Arabidopsis thaliana: one gene and its partner. The protein of the gene in region 1 interacts with the protein of each later gene in a pairwise test. Each region holds a gene or a part of one and is shown on either strand. Other genes may lie near its edges.

Region 1 (8,968 bases):
GTCAATAATTCTTTTTCTACCGACCATTCTGATCCTTTTTATTTATATATTTTTGTAATAAAATTATTATCAAAGTTTATGTTTAGTCTCGCTTTTGTTATCCTTTTTTTTTAGTTTAGCTGTGATCTCCCTTTTGTCATGATTATAAGTTTGGTGTTACTTACTTTTTAAAAGAACAAAAAAATAGAGAAATATTTTTAACTCGATGAACACGTCTTGCGAATTTAAAGCATCTCAAAATTTCTTTATTAATTTTGCTAAAAATAAATATAATAACACATATTCAAGCCCTTTATTATGGTCGGATATTTTTCCAAAGCTTGAAGCATTCATTCTAATTAATACTATGATTTTTATATAGAAAAAAAATCAGCATTGGGAGTATCGAACCATGCAAGAGTTGAAATATAGAGAAGAATTAATTCGTATTAGCTAAACGACGAAGCTTTATTGTCAACCGAGAAGTTATAACGATCTAACTTTAACGCATGTAAACATATTATAATGACATCACAAATATAAACTTATTATATAAACACTTGAGACAGATAAATAAATATACTACAGTACTAATTATTTAGAGAGAGTAGCCGTTAAATCGTTAAAATGGATAGTTACAGTAGCCTCCCATTTTAACCCAAAAAAGAAAAAGAGTAATAATCAACTTTGTCATACATTTATTTGCCACAAGATTGTTAATCCCTAGAACCGCTAACACCACGTCATTCGAAATCTCTGAGTTATTATTAAATGAATTCTCTATAACCTTTTCTACTATTTTATTCTTCTTTCGGTCAAATTTATTTTCAAGTTAATAAATCCTGATATATTTTGGAGTACAATTTATACTTTACGTTTTGCCCTACTTTGGAGTGTTTTTAGAGCTTTTTTCTTTCTTTTTTTCAAAGTGGACGACTGAAACATGTAATTCATGTTTGTGATACTGATTAGGAAAATTTCATAAATCTAAATCGCCAACAATTTTTAATAAAATACACACGGCTGTTTCGAAACTTTTTCAAGATACATATCGATTAAAATTTCAAATCCGAAAAATAATGGTTTTTATGATATAACTAAACCGTTGGACTAAAAATGGGCCGAAATAACATGTTAATATTAACGGCCGCAAACTATTGCTTGATCCGCTTGGCCCATTGGACGACTTTGTTTGTAAATGTCCGAATATTTTTTCAAGATATTTATGTATTTGGTACTTCAAATCTAGTACCCAAGCCTTAGATCATTAAAATTTAGAACTCAGTATATAACTAATGCCATTTTTTATTTTTGGATTCGATATTTTTTTTTTTAGTGTAATATTAAATTATATTTAAAAAAACAAATATACGTTTTTATAATTTGTGCTTCGTATGTTTGAAAAAGTAAGCTCTAAAGATTTCTGATGATTTTTCGAAAATGTTTAAAGAAAATGTTTAAACAAGCTAAGAGTCGAGGTTAACTAGTCATGGGAGTGAATCCAGTTTTAAATAGGCATCGTCATACTGCTTGTCGCCTAATAATCGTATTGCTGAAATCAGATTTCGAATTTGTTTATCAACCCATATGGTGATACCCTTTATATTATGATCCCACGCACCTCAAAAATTTCGGCGTTGGATTCATGTCACTCCTAGCTAGCAACCTCAGGGCTCGCAGTATCCCATTCGTCTTAATTAGTTAAGATTTTTTTTAAAAATTTATTTTGTTCAGTTATTATTCATTTCATTCGAACGATTAAACAAAGATTATTATGGTCTCGTGATTTATATGTTGACCCTTCTAATATTCTAAATTTAAAAATAAGAAAAAAGAGGAAAATTGAGGCAAAACACATGTTGCCGAGTCATTATCAACTAGGGGTGCATAATGATGGAACAAAGCACAAATCTTTTAACGCAAACTAACTACAACCTTCTTTTGGGGTCCCCATCCCCGACCCTAATGTTTTGGAATTAATAAAACTACAATCACTTACCAAAAAATAAAAGTTCAAGGCCACTATAATTTCTCATATGAACCTACATTTATAAATAAAATCTGGTTTCATATTAATTTCACACACCAAGTTACTTTCTATTATTAACTGTTATAATGGACCATGAAATCATTTGCATATGAACTGCAATGATACATAATCCACTTTGTTTTGTGGGAGACATTTACCAGATTTCGGTAAATTGGTATTCCCCCTTTTATGTGATTGGTCATTGATCATTGTTAGTGGCCAGACATTTGAACTCCCGTTTTTTTGTCTATAAGAATTCGGAAACATATAGTATCCTTTGAAAACGGAGAAACAAATAACAATGTGGACAAACTAGATATAATTTCAACACAAGACTATGGGAATGATTTTACCCACTAATTATAATCCGATCACAAGGTTTCAACGAACTAGTTTTCCAGATATCAACCAAATTTACTTTGGAATTAAACTAACTTAAAACTAATTGGTTGTTCGTAAATGGTGCTTTTTTTTTTTGCGGATGTTAGTAAAGGGTTTTATGTATTTTATATTATTAGTTATCTGTTTTCAGTGTTATGTTGTCTCATCCATAAAGTTTATATGTTTTTTCTTTGCTCTATAACTTATATATATATATGAGTTTACAGTTATATTTATACATTTCAGATACTTGATCGGCATTTTTTTTGGTAAAAAATATATGCATGAAAAACTCAAGTGTTTCTTTTTTAAGGAATTTTTAAATGGTGATTATATGAATATAATCATATGTATATCCGTATATATATGTAGCCAGATAGTTAATTATTTGGGGGATATTTGAATTATTAATGTTATAATATTCTTTCTTTTGACTCGTCTGGTTAAATTAAAGAACAAAAAAAACACATACTTTTACTGTTTTAAAAGGTTAAATTAACATAATTTATTGATTACAAGTGTCAAGTCCATGACATTGCATGTAGGTTCGAGACTTCAGAGATAACGGAAGAGATCGATAATTGTGATCGTAACATCCAGATATGTATGTTTAATTTTCATTTAGATGTGGATCAGAGAAGATAAGTCAAACTGTCTTCATAATTTAAGACAACCTCTTTTAATATTTTCCCAAAACATGTTTTATGTAACTACTTTGCTTATGTGATTGCCTGAGGATACTATTATTCTCTGTCTTTATTCTCTTCACACCACATTTAAATAGTTTAAGAGCATAGAAATTAATTATTTTCAAAAAGGTGATTATATGCATGCAAAATAGCACACCATTTATGTTTATATTTTCAAATTATTTAATACATTTCAATATTTCATAAGTGTGATTTTTTTTTTTTTTGTCAATTTCATAAGTGTGATTTGTCATTTGTATTAAACAATTGTATCGCGCAGTACAAATAAACAGTGGGAGAGGTGAAAATGCAGTTATAAAACTGTCCAATAATTTACTAACACATTTAAATATCTAAAAAGAGTGTTTCAAAAAAAATTCTTTTGAAATAAGAAAAGTGATAGATATTTTTACGCTTTCGTCTGAAAATAAAACAATAATAGTTTATTAGAAAAATGTTATCACCGAAAATTATTCTAGTGCCACTCGCTCGGATCGAAATTCGAAAGTTATATTCTTTCTCTTTACCTAATATAAAAATCACAAGAAAAATCAATCCGAATATATCTATCAACATAGTATATGCCCTTACATATTGTTTCTGACTTTTCTCTATCCGAATTTCTCGCTTCATGGTTTTTTTTTAACATATTCTCATTTAATTTTCATTACTATTATATAACTAAAAGATGGAAATAAAATAAAGTGTCTTTGAGAATCGAACGTCCATATCAGTAAGATAGTTTGTGTGAAGGTAAAATCTAAAAGATTTAAGTTCCAAAAACAGAAAATAATATATTACGCTAAAAAAGAAGAAAATAATTAAATACAAAACAGAAAAAAATAATATACGACAGACACGTGTCACGAAGATACCCTACGCTATAGACACAGCTCTGTTTTCTCTTTTCTATGCCTCAAGGCTCTCTTAACTTCACTGTCTCCTCTTCGGATAATCCTATCCTTCTCTTCCTATAAATACCTCTCCACTCTTCCTCTTCCTCCACCACTACAACCACCGCAACAACCACCAAAAACCCTCTCAAAGAAATTTCTTTTTTTTCTTACTTTCTTGGTTTGTCAAATATGGTCAGCCATCCAATGGAGAAAGCTGCAAATGGTGCGTCTGCGTTGGAAACGCAGACGGGTGAGTTAGATCAGCCGGAACGGCTTCGTAAGATCATATCGGTGTCTTCCATTGCCGCCGGTGTACAGTTCGGTTGGGCTTTACAGTTATCTCTGTTGACTCCTTACGTGCAGCTACTCGGAATCCCACATAAATGGGCTTCTCTGATTTGGCTCTGTGGTCCAATCTCCGGTATGCTTGTTCAGCCTATCGTCGGTTACCACAGTGACCGTTGCACCTCAAGATTCGGCCGTCGTCGTCCCTTCATCGTCGCTGGAGCTGGTTTAGTCACCGTTGCTGTTTTCCTTATCGGTTACGCTGCCGATATAGGTCACAGCATGGGCGATCAGCTTGACAAACCGCCGAAAACGCGAGCCATAGCGATATTCGCTCTCGGGTTTTGGATTCTTGACGTGGCTAACAACACCTTACAAGGACCCTGCAGAGCTTTCTTGGCTGATTTATCAGCAGGGAACGCTAAGAAAACGCGAACCGCAAACGCGTTTTTCTCGTTTTTCATGGCGGTTGGAAACGTTTTGGGTTACGCTGCGGGATCTTACAGAAATCTCTACAAAGTTGTGCCTTTCACGATGACTGAGTCATGCGATCTCTACTGCGCAAACCTCAAAACGTGTTTTTTCCTATCCATAACGCTTCTCCTCATAGTCACTTTCGTATCTCTCTGTTACGTGAAGGAGAAGCCATGGACGCCAGAGCCAACAGCCGATGGAAAAGCCTCCAACGTTCCGTTTTTCGGAGAAATCTTCGGAGCTTTCAAGGAACTAAAAAGACCCATGTGGATGCTTCTTATAGTCACTGCACTAAACTGGATCGCTTGGTTCCCTTTCCTTCTCTTCGACACTGATTGGATGGGCCGTGAGGTGTACGGAGGAAACTCAGACGCAACCGCAACCGCAGCCTCTAAGAAGCTTTACAACGACGGAGTCAGAGCTGGTGCTTTGGGGCTTATGCTTAACGCTATTGTTCTTGGTTTCATGTCTCTTGGTGTTGAATGGATTGGTCGGAAATTGGGAGGAGCTAAAAGGCTTTGGGGTATTGTTAACTTCATCCTCGCCATTTGCTTGGCCATGACGGTTGTGGTTACGAAACAAGCTGAGAATCACCGACGAGATCACGGCGGCGCTAAAACAGGTCCACCTGGTAACGTCACAGCTGGTGCTTTAACTCTCTTCGCCATCCTCGGTATCCCCCAAGCCGTAAGTATCTCTCTCTCTGTTTTTTTTTTTGTTTATCCATTGGCTAATTATTTTAGTACTATATCTGATTTGTCGTTTATAATAAGGAAAGAAGTAAATCAATAACCTAATTTGATGAATTTTTTTTCATTTTTATTAACTGCAGATTACGTTTAGCATTCCTTTTGCACTAGCTTCCATATTTTCAACCAATTCCGGTGCCGGCCAAGGTAAATATTCTATTTTTGAGCTTTTTATTTAATCTAAAATTACCCTTTTTGTTTTGGATAATCAAAGTCGACAATCTTCTTAAAGTGTTGGGACCTAAAAAAGCTAAAAGCATTTAATACGTGCAGATTCGTAATTTAATAACTTATTGAGAAGATTCTATAAGTAACCAATATTTATATATTCGTTTGAGTGACCATATATACGCGATATACCAAATTTACAATTTCTATAGCCTACGAAAATTTGTAATCTTGATTCCTAAAGCTTTTTATCTTTTCTTCCACAGGACTTTCCCTAGGTGTTCTGAATCTAGCCATTGTCGTCCCTCAGGTAAAAACCCGTTTAAAATCAGTTTTACTTATTTTCATTTAGGAAAAATTATGACTAATATATATATTTGGTTTCTTGGTTAAATATAGATGGTAATATCTGTGGGAGGTGGACCATTCGACGAACTATTCGGTGGTGGAAACATTCCAGCATTTGTGTTAGGAGCGATTGCGGCAGCGGTAAGTGGTGTATTGGCGTTGACGGTGTTGCCTTCACCGCCTCCGGATGCTCCTGCCTTCAAAGCTACTATGGGATTTCATTGAATTTTAGCAGTGGTTGTTTGGCTCTCTTTCTCTCATAAAACAGTAGTGTTGTGCAAATCCTACATAAAGAAAAAAGAAAAGGAAATTAAACTCATTGGGTTGGTTTGTATTTTACCTAAACCCACGAAGTTCCTTTTTCTTTTTGTAACTCAATTTAAATTTGGAGTATATTTTACTTTTTGTTACCTTCAAGGCTTCAATATTACGACTTCATTGTTCGGTAATAAATACCTCATAAGCTACAAAAGATTATGTAACGATTTAACACAATTATTTTTTTAACAAACAAAAACAACGATCTAAACAGTTCATATTAACTGATTTGATAACTTATTTCACAAAAAAAGTATATGCGAAATACTTACAAAATATCTTTACATTTGATTGTACATATAAAACCAAAACAAGTTTTAAGATGAATGTGGCTAGATACAAAAATTAACGGTGAAATAAGAGCATTCTCGATTTATATGTTTTGTTTTTATCTATTTTAGTTAATTCTTTAATCAAGTTGTTTCACATTTGTTTAACCTGATTTTCCCGTTTCCAATGGATAAACTCGGATTATGAAAGTAACTTGATGTACATGTTTGGTAAGCTTATTGGTCAAAGTATGACAAGCCTTTTCCCCTAAGTATGATAAGTTTTGGGAAATTTTCAGAAAGCACACTCTTTTAAGTTTTAGTTTTTAGATGTATATAACATAACTAATAACATGTATCAAAAGAAGTTTGGAAGAGTTTCTTAATTATTTGTTAAGGTTCTTCCTATATATATATATTCTGAAAAATTCATAAATCTTCCCTAATTAAATAAAAAAGATCCATTAGATAAAACCAAAATGAAATAATATGTAGATTTAAACCGGAAGGTACTAAACCGGAAATTGGAAGAGGCAACGTGGGCCTTATCTTCTTCTTCTTCTTCCTGCTAGATTTTATTCTTTTATCTCTTGAGCACACACACACATACAAGACTCTCCTCACAGAACGATTTAGATTTAATCGGGAAAAAGTTCAGTCAGTGACACTAATGTTCGAATCGAACATGGTTCTTCAAACACTATCTTCTTCTTCTCCTCCAATTCACCGTCTCTATCTTCACCATTCTCAGATTCTCCCTTCTTCTGGGTCACCCAGCAAGATTTCTCTTCAGGTAAACACTCCAAGTTCCTCTCTTTCGCTTCACCCATAGTTTACAATCTCACTGTACTCTAGGGTTTCCTCTGTTTTTTCCCCAATCAAGAATTTTGATTCGTAAATTGTTCTTACGATAGAAGAAGATTATGTGGAATCTGAACAAGAACAGAGTCAAAATTTACCCTTTTATTTTGTTCATGAACTTGCTAATCTTCCTCCTTGTTTTTGAACTTGTGGATGAAGGCAGATACATGGAAGGACTTTGGCCATTCGATCTTTTCATGGTACTTCACTTCTTCTTCCCTGCTTAAAGTTTCATACTTTACTATACATCTAGATGTTTCTGCTTGAGGTTTAGATTGATAGCTTTAGATTATGTCTTTGCAGAAATTTCTGCTAGAGGTTTACCGGCTTTGAACAAAGCTTCCTTGAAGAAGCTACCAATCAAAGGATCTACCTTTCTGCTGGGGCAGAGCTTGTTGATGGTTTCTGCTCACCCACAGTTGGCAGCAGCAGCAGAAATCATAAAGCCTGAACCGATTTACGAAGTTGGAGAGTTATTTGAACTTAGTATTCAGCTTTCTTACTTGCTGTTACTACTGGGGTTGCTTGGAGTTGGTACTTTCTATGTGATCCGTCAAGTACTTGTACGCAGAGAACTAGACCTCTCCGCTAAAGAATTGCAGGTACCAGACAATGTGCTCTTTGTGGTAGAAAACAGTAGGATAAGTAACTGAGATGGAACGAGTCTAGAGTAGAGATGTAATATTGATGTCTCTCGTATCATTGTCTGTCTCTTATCTTTTAATGCTATTCACATAATAATTGTAGATATTATGAACATTAGACTTATTTAAGTAGCTATGCTTGCTCAACGTTTTTGTTAATTTGATCAAATCTGGATGCTATGGTTCTATTGTTGTCTTTATGACCTGAAGGAGCAAGTAAGGAGCGGAGATGCAAGTGCAACAGAGCTCTTTGAGCTTGGTGCAGTGATGTTGAGAAGGAAGTTTTATCCTGCAGCCAACAAGTTTTTGCAACAAGCTATCCAGAAATGGGACGGTGATGATCAAGATCTTGCTCAGGTAATAGACTTTTACACTAATACCGTTACCAAGTAAATAAAAAATCAATTGACACTGCAATATACAATTCCTGAGACAGGTCTATAACGCTCTTGGAGTGAGTTATGTACGAGAGGATAAACTTGACAAAGGAATTGCTCAGTTTGAAATGGCGGTGAAGCTGCAACCCGGTTATGTAACAGCTTGGAACAACCTTGGGGATGCTTATGAGAAGAAGAAGGAGTTGCCTTTGGCATTGAATGCGTTTGAAGAAGTTTTGTTGTTTGATCCAAACAATAAGGTGGCTCGGCCTCGGCGAGATGCGTTGAAGGATCGCGTGAAGCTTTATAAAGGTGTTGTGGCTGTTAAGTCTAAGAAACGGTGACGGCTCAAACAAGATGCAAACTCTGAACCAAGAACCGTTGGTCTCTCTCCCCCTTGTGTATTTTTTTGGTTTGGTAATATGTATGGAGATTTTGTGTTAATATGAAAATGAAACTTTGTTGTTTTTTGTAACCAATAAAATCAGATGTTTAAAACTT
Region 2 (8,654 bases), on another chromosome or scaffold:
CTTAAACACTCTTCCCGATTCTTCAACACTCTCCACCGGCACTCTCACCGACAGTTCCAACTCCTCCTCGCTTTTCACCGACGGCACTGGCTTCTCCGACCTATATATTCCGGTAATTTTCCGTTATTATTTTCTCAAATCCACGCCAATATTTATGAAATAGTAACACTTTTTTCTTCTTCTTCTTCTTCTTATTTAATCAGAATGACGATATAGCAGAATTAGAATGGTTATCAAATTTTGTGGAAGAATCATTCGCAGGAGAAGACCAAGACAAGCTTCACTTATTTTCCGGTTTAAAAAACCCTCAAACCACCGGGTCGACCCTGACCCACTTAATTAAACCCGAACCCGAACTTGATCATCAATTCATCGACATCGATGAATCCAACGTCGCCGTTCCTGCCAAGGCCAGAAGCAAGAGATCACGTTCTGCAGCCTCCACGTGGGCTTCCCGTCTTTTATCCTTAGCCGATTCCGACGAAACCAATCCCAAGAAGAAACAACGAAGAGTGAAAGAACAAGACTTCGCCGGAGATATGGACGTGGATTGCGGAGAAAGCGGAGGAGGACGACGTTGTTTGCACTGCGCGACGGAGAAGACGCCGCAATGGAGGACGGGACCTATGGGTCCGAAGACGCTTTGTAACGCTTGCGGAGTGAGGTACAAATCAGGGAGGCTCGTGCCGGAGTATAGACCGGCGTCGAGTCCGACGTTCGTGATGGCGAGGCACTCGAACTCTCACCGGAAAGTGATGGAGCTCCGGCGACAGAAGGAGATGAGAGACGAGCATTTGCTGAGTCAGCTTAGGTGTGAGAATCTACTGATGGATATCAGATCCAACGGTGAAGATTTCTTAATGCATAATAATACTAACCACGTGGCTCCTGATTTTAGACACTTAATCTAGTTTTCTATTTCCACGTGGATAATTTCGCAATAATTTGTTCGTTTCGTTTAGCTTTATTTTTTTTTTTTTCCTTTTTAACATTTGTTTTTCATTTTCTGCAGACTACTTCTAGTACTATTGATATATTTGATAGCTTTTGTTTTTGCTCTTCGACTTCCCGAAATTTTAATTAGAAAGTTTATAAAATAAGAGAAATATGGTAGAAATAAAGGAGTTAATTAATGATATACATATCAATCTATTTCTGGTTTTTAATACTAGTCACGAAAATAATTGAATCCAACTAGAACCCAAAATAAAAAATTCCAAATAGTTGTTATTTCCCTTTCTCTACTGTTTTTATTTTCATAAAGTGTTAAGCGTGTTATGAATTTGGTTGCAATCGTCGTGTGTGATTAAGAACAATATATTCCATTCAATTTAAAATCAAATTCAAATAAAAAAGTAAAAAACGTTCTTATTCACCCAAAACACTGGGATCCGGAAGCTTAATAATTATTCACAGATGGGTTATTATAATTTATCAAACTTAATTATTCTCTGAATTTTAACTTCTTTCACGTTTTACATTCTGACAATATTCGAGGAAATCTGATGCTGTAATATTAATCTGAAATATATTTAGTATAGTAAAGGGACAAATACAAATTTGCACAGCACAAAAGTCATATAGAAATATTATTTAATTTAAATAAAGGGAAATGGAGCATAGATTGAGGTGCTCGTCACATGCATTCTCATGCAAACCTAACCAGCAAGTGGGCGAATTTATGATGTATAGTGTAGTATTATATAGCTATAATATCAAAATGGTCCTCTTCTTAACCAACATTCAATATTTTATTTTGATAGAGATATATAGGTAAAGGTCCACGGACTGTACTTGTAATGTCTAATTTCTTTTGGTTTAAGCGATCCTTATTATTAGATTTTTCTATGCACAAACAATTCTTATCACTCCATTCAACTTTACACGTTGAAAATTCAGTAATTTACCAAATGGTAGGCTGCCTTGAATTCCTTTTACAAAAGCCTATGCATTCCACTGTAAATGAGATATGTAATACTAAAACTCGTCGAAATTTCTCTCACTGTTTGTTCTTTTGTTTGTTAACTACCATCCAAACATAACTTAGAAACTGATAAACATTGATGATTATTTGGTTTTAAACATTAGATAATGTTGTTTATGTTGGTTTATATCATATCCAAAAAGAAAAGAAAAGAATACGTAAAAGCACACATATATCTAAATATTATGGAGTCATGTGAGTATGTTGCGTATACAGTATGCCATGTGATGCATATAGATATTTATATATAATAATGTGGAATCATAACGGTCCAACGTAGCGAGCTGAACTTTGGGGAAGACTTCGACGTCACTCAAAGAAAGTATCAAAAAGAAATCAATTCCAAAGTCACCCTATATGTTACATAAAAAAAAAGAAAGAATATAAAACTTAAAACATGAGAAGGACGATATAAGCTATATAAACACACATATATACTATATACAAAACGAAATAGACATAAGTAAAAACACTAATAAGAATCATTTCTAACAAAAGCACTGAGACATGTACGTACTAGAAATTGAGGTAGTACGACGGGAAAAAGGTGTCACCGTCACAGTACGTTTCTAGTAATGTCCGGAAGCTTTTTTCAATTACGAGAGAGTCAGAACAACTAGTATTGTTAGATTCTCTTAAAAATCATTACATATCAGTACAGGGAAAATATTAGATCTTTGATCGAAAGAAATTTGCCTATTACAAATAGAGTAGAAAATAAATGATATGACGATTTATTTAAGCTTTTTTAAAGATTAATATTAACGACCAAAATAATATATATACCACGATTATGATTTTTATTAACCTTTTATTTTGTAAAAAAAATACACTGTTAAAATTTTAACTTATTCAAGTTTTTGTGGAAGTCTACTATTGACTGCCGAGGGATCAATATAGCCCAGTGCTATCGGTTAGACCGATCAATCTTGGCACTCATGTATATGAGAATGTTTCCTTTATTAGTTAAAATATTGTTATTTTAACTATGAAATTCTGGTTGTTACTTTGGTTTTGGAAGCCAATACCCTATACTACAGCGGTAAAAACTTGAAAGTGTCAGAATGTAATCGAAATTTACATGAATTCAACTCCAAAAAACCGGTGGAAGAACTACTACAAGCAAATTAACCAACAACAAATCTAACATGTACCTTGAATAATCATTACACAACAACATTGCCTTGCCTGAATTAACCTTAATCCTGGAGAAATCAAAATCCCAGAGGAACTACGCCAAGAAAAAGCTCCTGAATCAGAGTAAAGCCAGCCTACCAGTTATGGAATCAACCAACTCCTTTGGTCCTGCACAAGAAAAGTAATGAACATGTTGAGGAACAACATCTTAGCTAAAACCGAATTTCAAAAAATTATTGTCTCTACCAGGTCCAACTGCAAGAACTGTTCTTGATCCAGCCGCAACCTGTTAAAGGAAGAGTTTTAGTTTCCAGAGAAACTTGTTAGCGTACTACTACCACAGAAAATTCACAAATAATTTTCATTCAAGAGCAGTCTTTTCGTGTTTCAATAGGTCGGATGGTGTTTATGTCTTCTATAGTTCTAACTATTTGATTAGTAGAAACTTTTAGATTTTCTTTTGAATAGGAGGAGCTCTGATTATACTTTCAGCCTCAATAATTGATCAAGCACGACAAACCTCAGTTCTTCCAGCATCAGCTACAACAAAAGTCGGGAGGCCAACGCTCTCAGCAGCCTCTGTGATCTTATTCCTGTGAGCAGAAAAGATAAATGTAGCTTTCAAATTTATTGAAGACAACTTATTAACATTTGTAGTAAAGTAATAATATGTCTTGAAGTGCGTTTTGTTTGTATCCCCCAAGATTTTCACCTGCTTACATTTCTTGCTGGTTTTTGCAAGTGACGACTATCTTTGGCTGCCCATTTTCCTCCCATCGCCGCAGAAGGTATCGGTCACTGAAAGAATTAAGATGAAAACAAAAAAAAACATAAACCCCGGACTGATGCATCATACAAAGCAAACAACTCATTTCAGACGAAATTACCTCTGCATCAACTCTGCATACATGCCGGTGGCAGCATCTGCGAATATTAAAAAGAAAGTCATTTTACTTCCAGTGTTCAAATTTCAAACACATTTCATAAGACACTTACGTGCACACTGTGACGCAATTTTGCCCGTTCTCATCTTCAAGTCTTGCCTAACTACCAGTACCTGTGATCAGAACAAGCTCAAATTAGTTACACAAATGTTCTGATTTTAACTTGTAATCTAAAAATCTGACATCATTGAAAACTCATCACCATCCTTGTATAGATTATGCAAGTCTCTTTTATGAAGCTAAAATTTCAATCATTTGATGGGTTTGGAACATAAATCAGCTTGCATTATCACTAGGTTTTGTTATAAGGATTTAAGTTATAATATTTTACTCCAAACCAATAAAATCTAGGGGCAGAGACAAGAGACTATCGTTACACTAGATGATAGACAAACCATTTTAAGCTCTTGGTCCTTGCCATTGCCTGGTACAGAACTCTGCTTCTGGACCTTGCTGGATAAAAGTCTGCTCCTTTTCACTGGGGAGGTCACTTGCTGTGATAAATCCAATATCATACCTATGATGAATCCTATCACAACCCCTGGTATGAGATTCTCTGCTCTAAAACTCACAGATATCGACTTCTTTTCTTGTCTCTGATCATATTCACCGGAAAAAAAAAAACAATGATACATTTTTAACTGTCCAACAAGAATGCTGGTTTAGTAAGCTACAAGAAAATTTCAGAACATGACCGAAACAACCGAGTAAATAAGCTCGTTTGTTGCAGTCTCAGTAAGATTTTAGAGACAAAAACATGATAAATTCTCGTTTGGGTGGTGAGAACTGAGAGGCAAACATTCAAATTTACACCACAAATCTCTCAATTTTATTTGCCAAATCAACCATAGACATACATATAAGAAACTTGTGCACTATAAAGCCAAACACTTACACTTAAAGCAAAGTACACTATTAAGAAAGAATCAGACTTTGACTCTTTGAGCTTAACTGATCTTACATCAATAACCAAAAGAAGAAAGAGCTCAGAATTTGTAATTTGTTTAGTTTCAAGTTTTCCAATTCACTAGCCAACTGATGCCATTCGGAAGTTTTGATCAAACTAGACTCAATTCCTCAGCCCGAGATAAATTTTGACAAAAAAGAAGCAACAAAACTAAGAACAAATTATCAACAGAAAAGACGGAAAATAAGTCGAAATCAATACCATAGCTTGAGGCTGCGAAGAGTTTCGAGACGAAGGCCACATGATACGCTTCTGGAGATTCTCCAAGGCGACAGAGGAACAAAGCTAAGCCTTTAAAATCGAATGCCCATGAGTATGATGAAGAAGGGAGATAAGAGCAGCCTTAGTAACCGTAAACGTCAGGGTGTTCATATCTCTGATTACAAAACGACGCGTTGTTTGGGGCTTAATGTACATTCTGGAAAAATACATGGTCCAATTAGAAAAGTTTTAACAGTATATAGCTACTAATGTAATTACTATAGAATATCTCTCGAACACACGGTGCGTTTTACTGTCGTCGCTCCTTTTTGTTGGTCTGTTTCCACTTCAGTTCTTCTCCCTCCGGAAAAGCTACAACCCCAATCTAAAACCCTAACGGCCATTTCTACCATCGGAGCTCCGAAAATGCCGGGTATGTCTTCGGAATCTGGCGGTGGAGAATTGGTTCTGTTTTCGACCAAGGAAAAAACTCCGGTGTTGTATCCTCTAAGCTATGGCCTCAAGTCTCCGGTTCACAGGCTCTCCATCTCCTGGGGTTGCGGAAACAACCTACGCGTCACGGTTTTAAGGAATCCAGAGTTACGCGATGATGACGACGGAGAAGTTGGTGGTAAGGTCGTAAACGTTAGGCTTAGCGGCGAGGATGGCGAAATCAGTGACCCACAGTGGCGAAGGATCGCTTATGGATCGGTATCTCCGTTCGCGCTTTTGCAGAGCAGAAGAAACTCAATTTCCAGTTTGTCTAAGATGGATATGAGTTCCTCTCTGTATCAGACTGCGTGGTGAGTATCTTCTTTGTAAATTCCCAGATTTTGCCCATTCAATACTGAAATACTGTTTTGGATTATCTTATGATTAGACTTCTAAAGCGTGTTTGAGCAATTCTGGATTGTCGTAATTTTAATCAGGTGGGAGTACGTAATGGAATACAGCAGAGATATTAAATCTCTCCTTAGTAATACAATATCTTTGCCCGCTCCTTTGATTGAAGACCCGAGATCAGTTATAAAGGTACGTTGGTCTTTCTGGTTCTACAATTGGTTAACTTTACTTGTAAATTTAACTCCTCCGCGAGTGAGGTATAGGTTTGAGTGTGGAGCTTTGTTAATGGATGTTCCTGTTAACATACATATGCAGAATGCTGAGGAACCAACTTCTTTAAAGGCTGCGTGGGAGTTGATGGAATTATTTTATGCAGATAAGACATGTCTGTCTTGGTTGCCAGAACGGCTCGTTGATTGGTTATCTGTAATTAGTTTTTACCTTCGACACTTGAGCTATCTTATTTTTTTAAACTTCTAGTGTTTTCTTACCTACCATTTATAACATGGCAGGAATACGATATACTCCTTTCTAGCTCACATCCAACAATCTACTCAAAGCTCCAGGATTTCCAAAAGGAACTTGTTGGCCTGCAGGTTTGCTCATCTCTAAGAAGTCGATAGTTCTCAGAAAATAAGTGATTGAAGAACCTGACTTTCTTAACGGGGTTATGTGCCATTGCAGGCCATCGAGGATGATCCAAGATACTGGGAAGTGATGGCTTCTGCTTTATCAGTTGGTTGGCTAGAAATAGTGGTTAGTACTTTTTTTTTGGGATTGGGGGTTCTTTGTAATTTGATCTTGAATGTTACAATTTGAGAAATGTTCTGCCCATACTTTTTATTTTCAGGTGAAGTTGTTACACCTACATGGTTCTTATCAACTAGACCAGCTGGGACATCGTGAGGTTAGAATGAAGTTGTTCATGTTTAGGTCCTTTGGGATTTATGTCATATGAAGTGACTAGCTACGTGCTAGTACTTTTGTATATGCACAGATTTCTGATTATTCATAATGTAATACAAATTTAATGAAATAGACAGAAAATGGTTTGGTAGAAGCGGTTGCTGTTCTCATTTCAAAAATGCCACGAATGCGGCCACAACTAGAAGATGGGAAATTTGGTGAATGCTCTGCAGCAAAGCCTGACTTTATGAAGGTATTTTAGAAACATGTATCATTCTAACTCTTTTTATTGTATCTGATTATGTGTCTAGACTCATCTTGCCGTTTTTGCCAGACACGAGAAAGATGGCAGTCTCAGATAACTAAACTAGAGTGCAGTGCCTTCTGGGTTCAATGTGCTCACCATCAGACCCGTGAGGGCTTGAGAAATATGTTGAAGATCATGATAGGAAATGCTGATTGCCTCAGAGCTGCGACATGTAACTGGATGGAGCTTTTTGTTTCACATCTTCTTTATCTCAGGCCATTTACGAAGGTGGATTGCTTTACCTGCTGTTTGTCTATTTAAATTCGAGTCTTGCTATCATTCTAATATTAAACTTGAAAATCAAATTAATACCATTTTGCATTGCAGGGATTAGATGGCATGCATAGCCTAGCCCAGAAGTGTGTTCAGTCAAAGCCAGTTAACACTTCCCATAAGCTTCTAAGACTGCTTATTGGAATTCTTGGAGAAAATACTGAGGTCAGTAGTACATCTTATACCTAGTCAGAGGTGCAACTGTTTCAGCTCTTCGCCACTTTCTAATCCAGCATGGTGTAATTAAATGATGCAGGTTGTTCTGGCAGAGTGTTCCAAAGAATTTGGCTCCTGGTAGGCAGGCGATGTTTGTTTCTGGTTACTAAGTTTATTGAGTACGCTATACTCTTATCTATATGAATCAGGACGAGACTTTTCATGTTTTTGTTAGGATGGTTGCACATGCCATGGAATTATTGACAGCTGGAAGCGAAGAAGGAGAAGTTCTTGTACATGAGGAACAGCGTAAGTTGGGTGGAATTAACATGGAAGAGCTCCATAGACTTGTTTATGCTCAAGTTCTTTCTTCTCATGCTTTGACTTGGCAGGTACCTTTCTTTTATGACTTATCAAGTACCTTCCCTGTAATCAAATCGGCACCTTTCTTATTGCGCTTCTTGTTATATCAAACTCTTCCATATTGTGTTTGAAATTTGCAGATAGCTCCTATTTATCTAGCATCGTGCGAGAAACAGGGATTAGGCTTATTAGAGCTGTTGTTCTACAGGCAGCCTGTTCAAGAGAATCAGATGCTTATTAAGGTTTCATTATTTCAGTTGCATTTGTACATCAATTCTAGTTCTGGTTTGTCGTTTACAATTCTAGGATCTTGTCAGAAGCCTTCACCTGGTACTTATGTTTCTCCTGTTGCAGAGCCTAGAGATTTGCCGTCTCTATGAACTCAGTAATGTCAGTGCTAAACTAATGAAGGTATTGATATATTGAGGCACTATTTTACGCTTGTATTCTCTAATCTCCAAATTGGGCGGAAAAAGGAAAAACAGATTTAATCTGAAGTTATGGTTTTCAGATTTCTGGAGTGCATCATTGGAAACATGGGAGGAAAGGCTCAGGGATTTTCTGGCTCCAGCA

What was found.
Region 2: the proteins of SUC2 (region 1) and AT4G32900 interact in a protein complementation assay, tested with the Arabidopsis thaliana proteins (one large-scale study listed by BioGRID).

What each region holds. Positions count from the first base shown.
Region 1 is NC_003070.9:8,028,166-8,037,133, reverse strand, and holds SUC2 (sucrose-proton symporter 2), read left to right. Parts: upstream 1-3,977; 5' UTR 3,978-4,163; coding exon 4,164-5,420; intron 5,421-5,565; coding exon 5,566-5,629; intron 5,630-5,916; coding exon 5,917-5,960; intron 5,961-6,049; coding exon 6,050-6,223; 3' UTR 6,224-6,547; downstream 6,548-8,968. Other genes in the region: AT1G22700 (Tetratricopeptide repeat (TPR)-like superfamily protein), read left to right, coding at 7,256-7,378, 7,610-7,646, 7,735-8,048, 8,301-8,447, 8,527-8,811. UniProt on the Arabidopsis thaliana protein: Responsible for the transport of sucrose into the cell, with the concomitant uptake of protons (symport system).
Region 2 is NC_003075.7:15,875,705-15,884,358, forward strand, and holds AT4G32900 (Peptidyl-tRNA hydrolase II (PTH2) family protein), read right to left. Parts: upstream 5,338-8,654; 5' UTR 5,276-5,337; coding exon 5,234-5,275; intron 4,662-5,233; coding exon 4,461-4,661; intron 4,179-4,460; coding exon 4,118-4,178; intron 4,046-4,117; coding exon 4,009-4,045; intron 3,920-4,008; coding exon 3,842-3,919; coding exon of another isoform or gene 3,838-3,841; exon of another isoform or gene 3,834-3,837; intron 3,715-3,833; coding exon 3,642-3,714; coding exon of another isoform or gene 3,627-3,641; exon of another isoform or gene 3,408-3,626; coding exon 3,368-3,407; intron 3,290-3,367; coding exon 3,240-3,289; 3' UTR 2,865-3,239; downstream 1-2,864. Other genes in the region: GATA9 (GATA transcription factor 9), read left to right, coding at 1-112, 204-911; AT4G32910 (nuclear pore complex Nup85-like protein), read left to right, coding at 5,660-6,036, 6,163-6,265, 6,392-6,502, 6,589-6,672, 6,761-6,832, 6,927-6,983, 7,116-7,235, 7,317-7,517 and 6 more.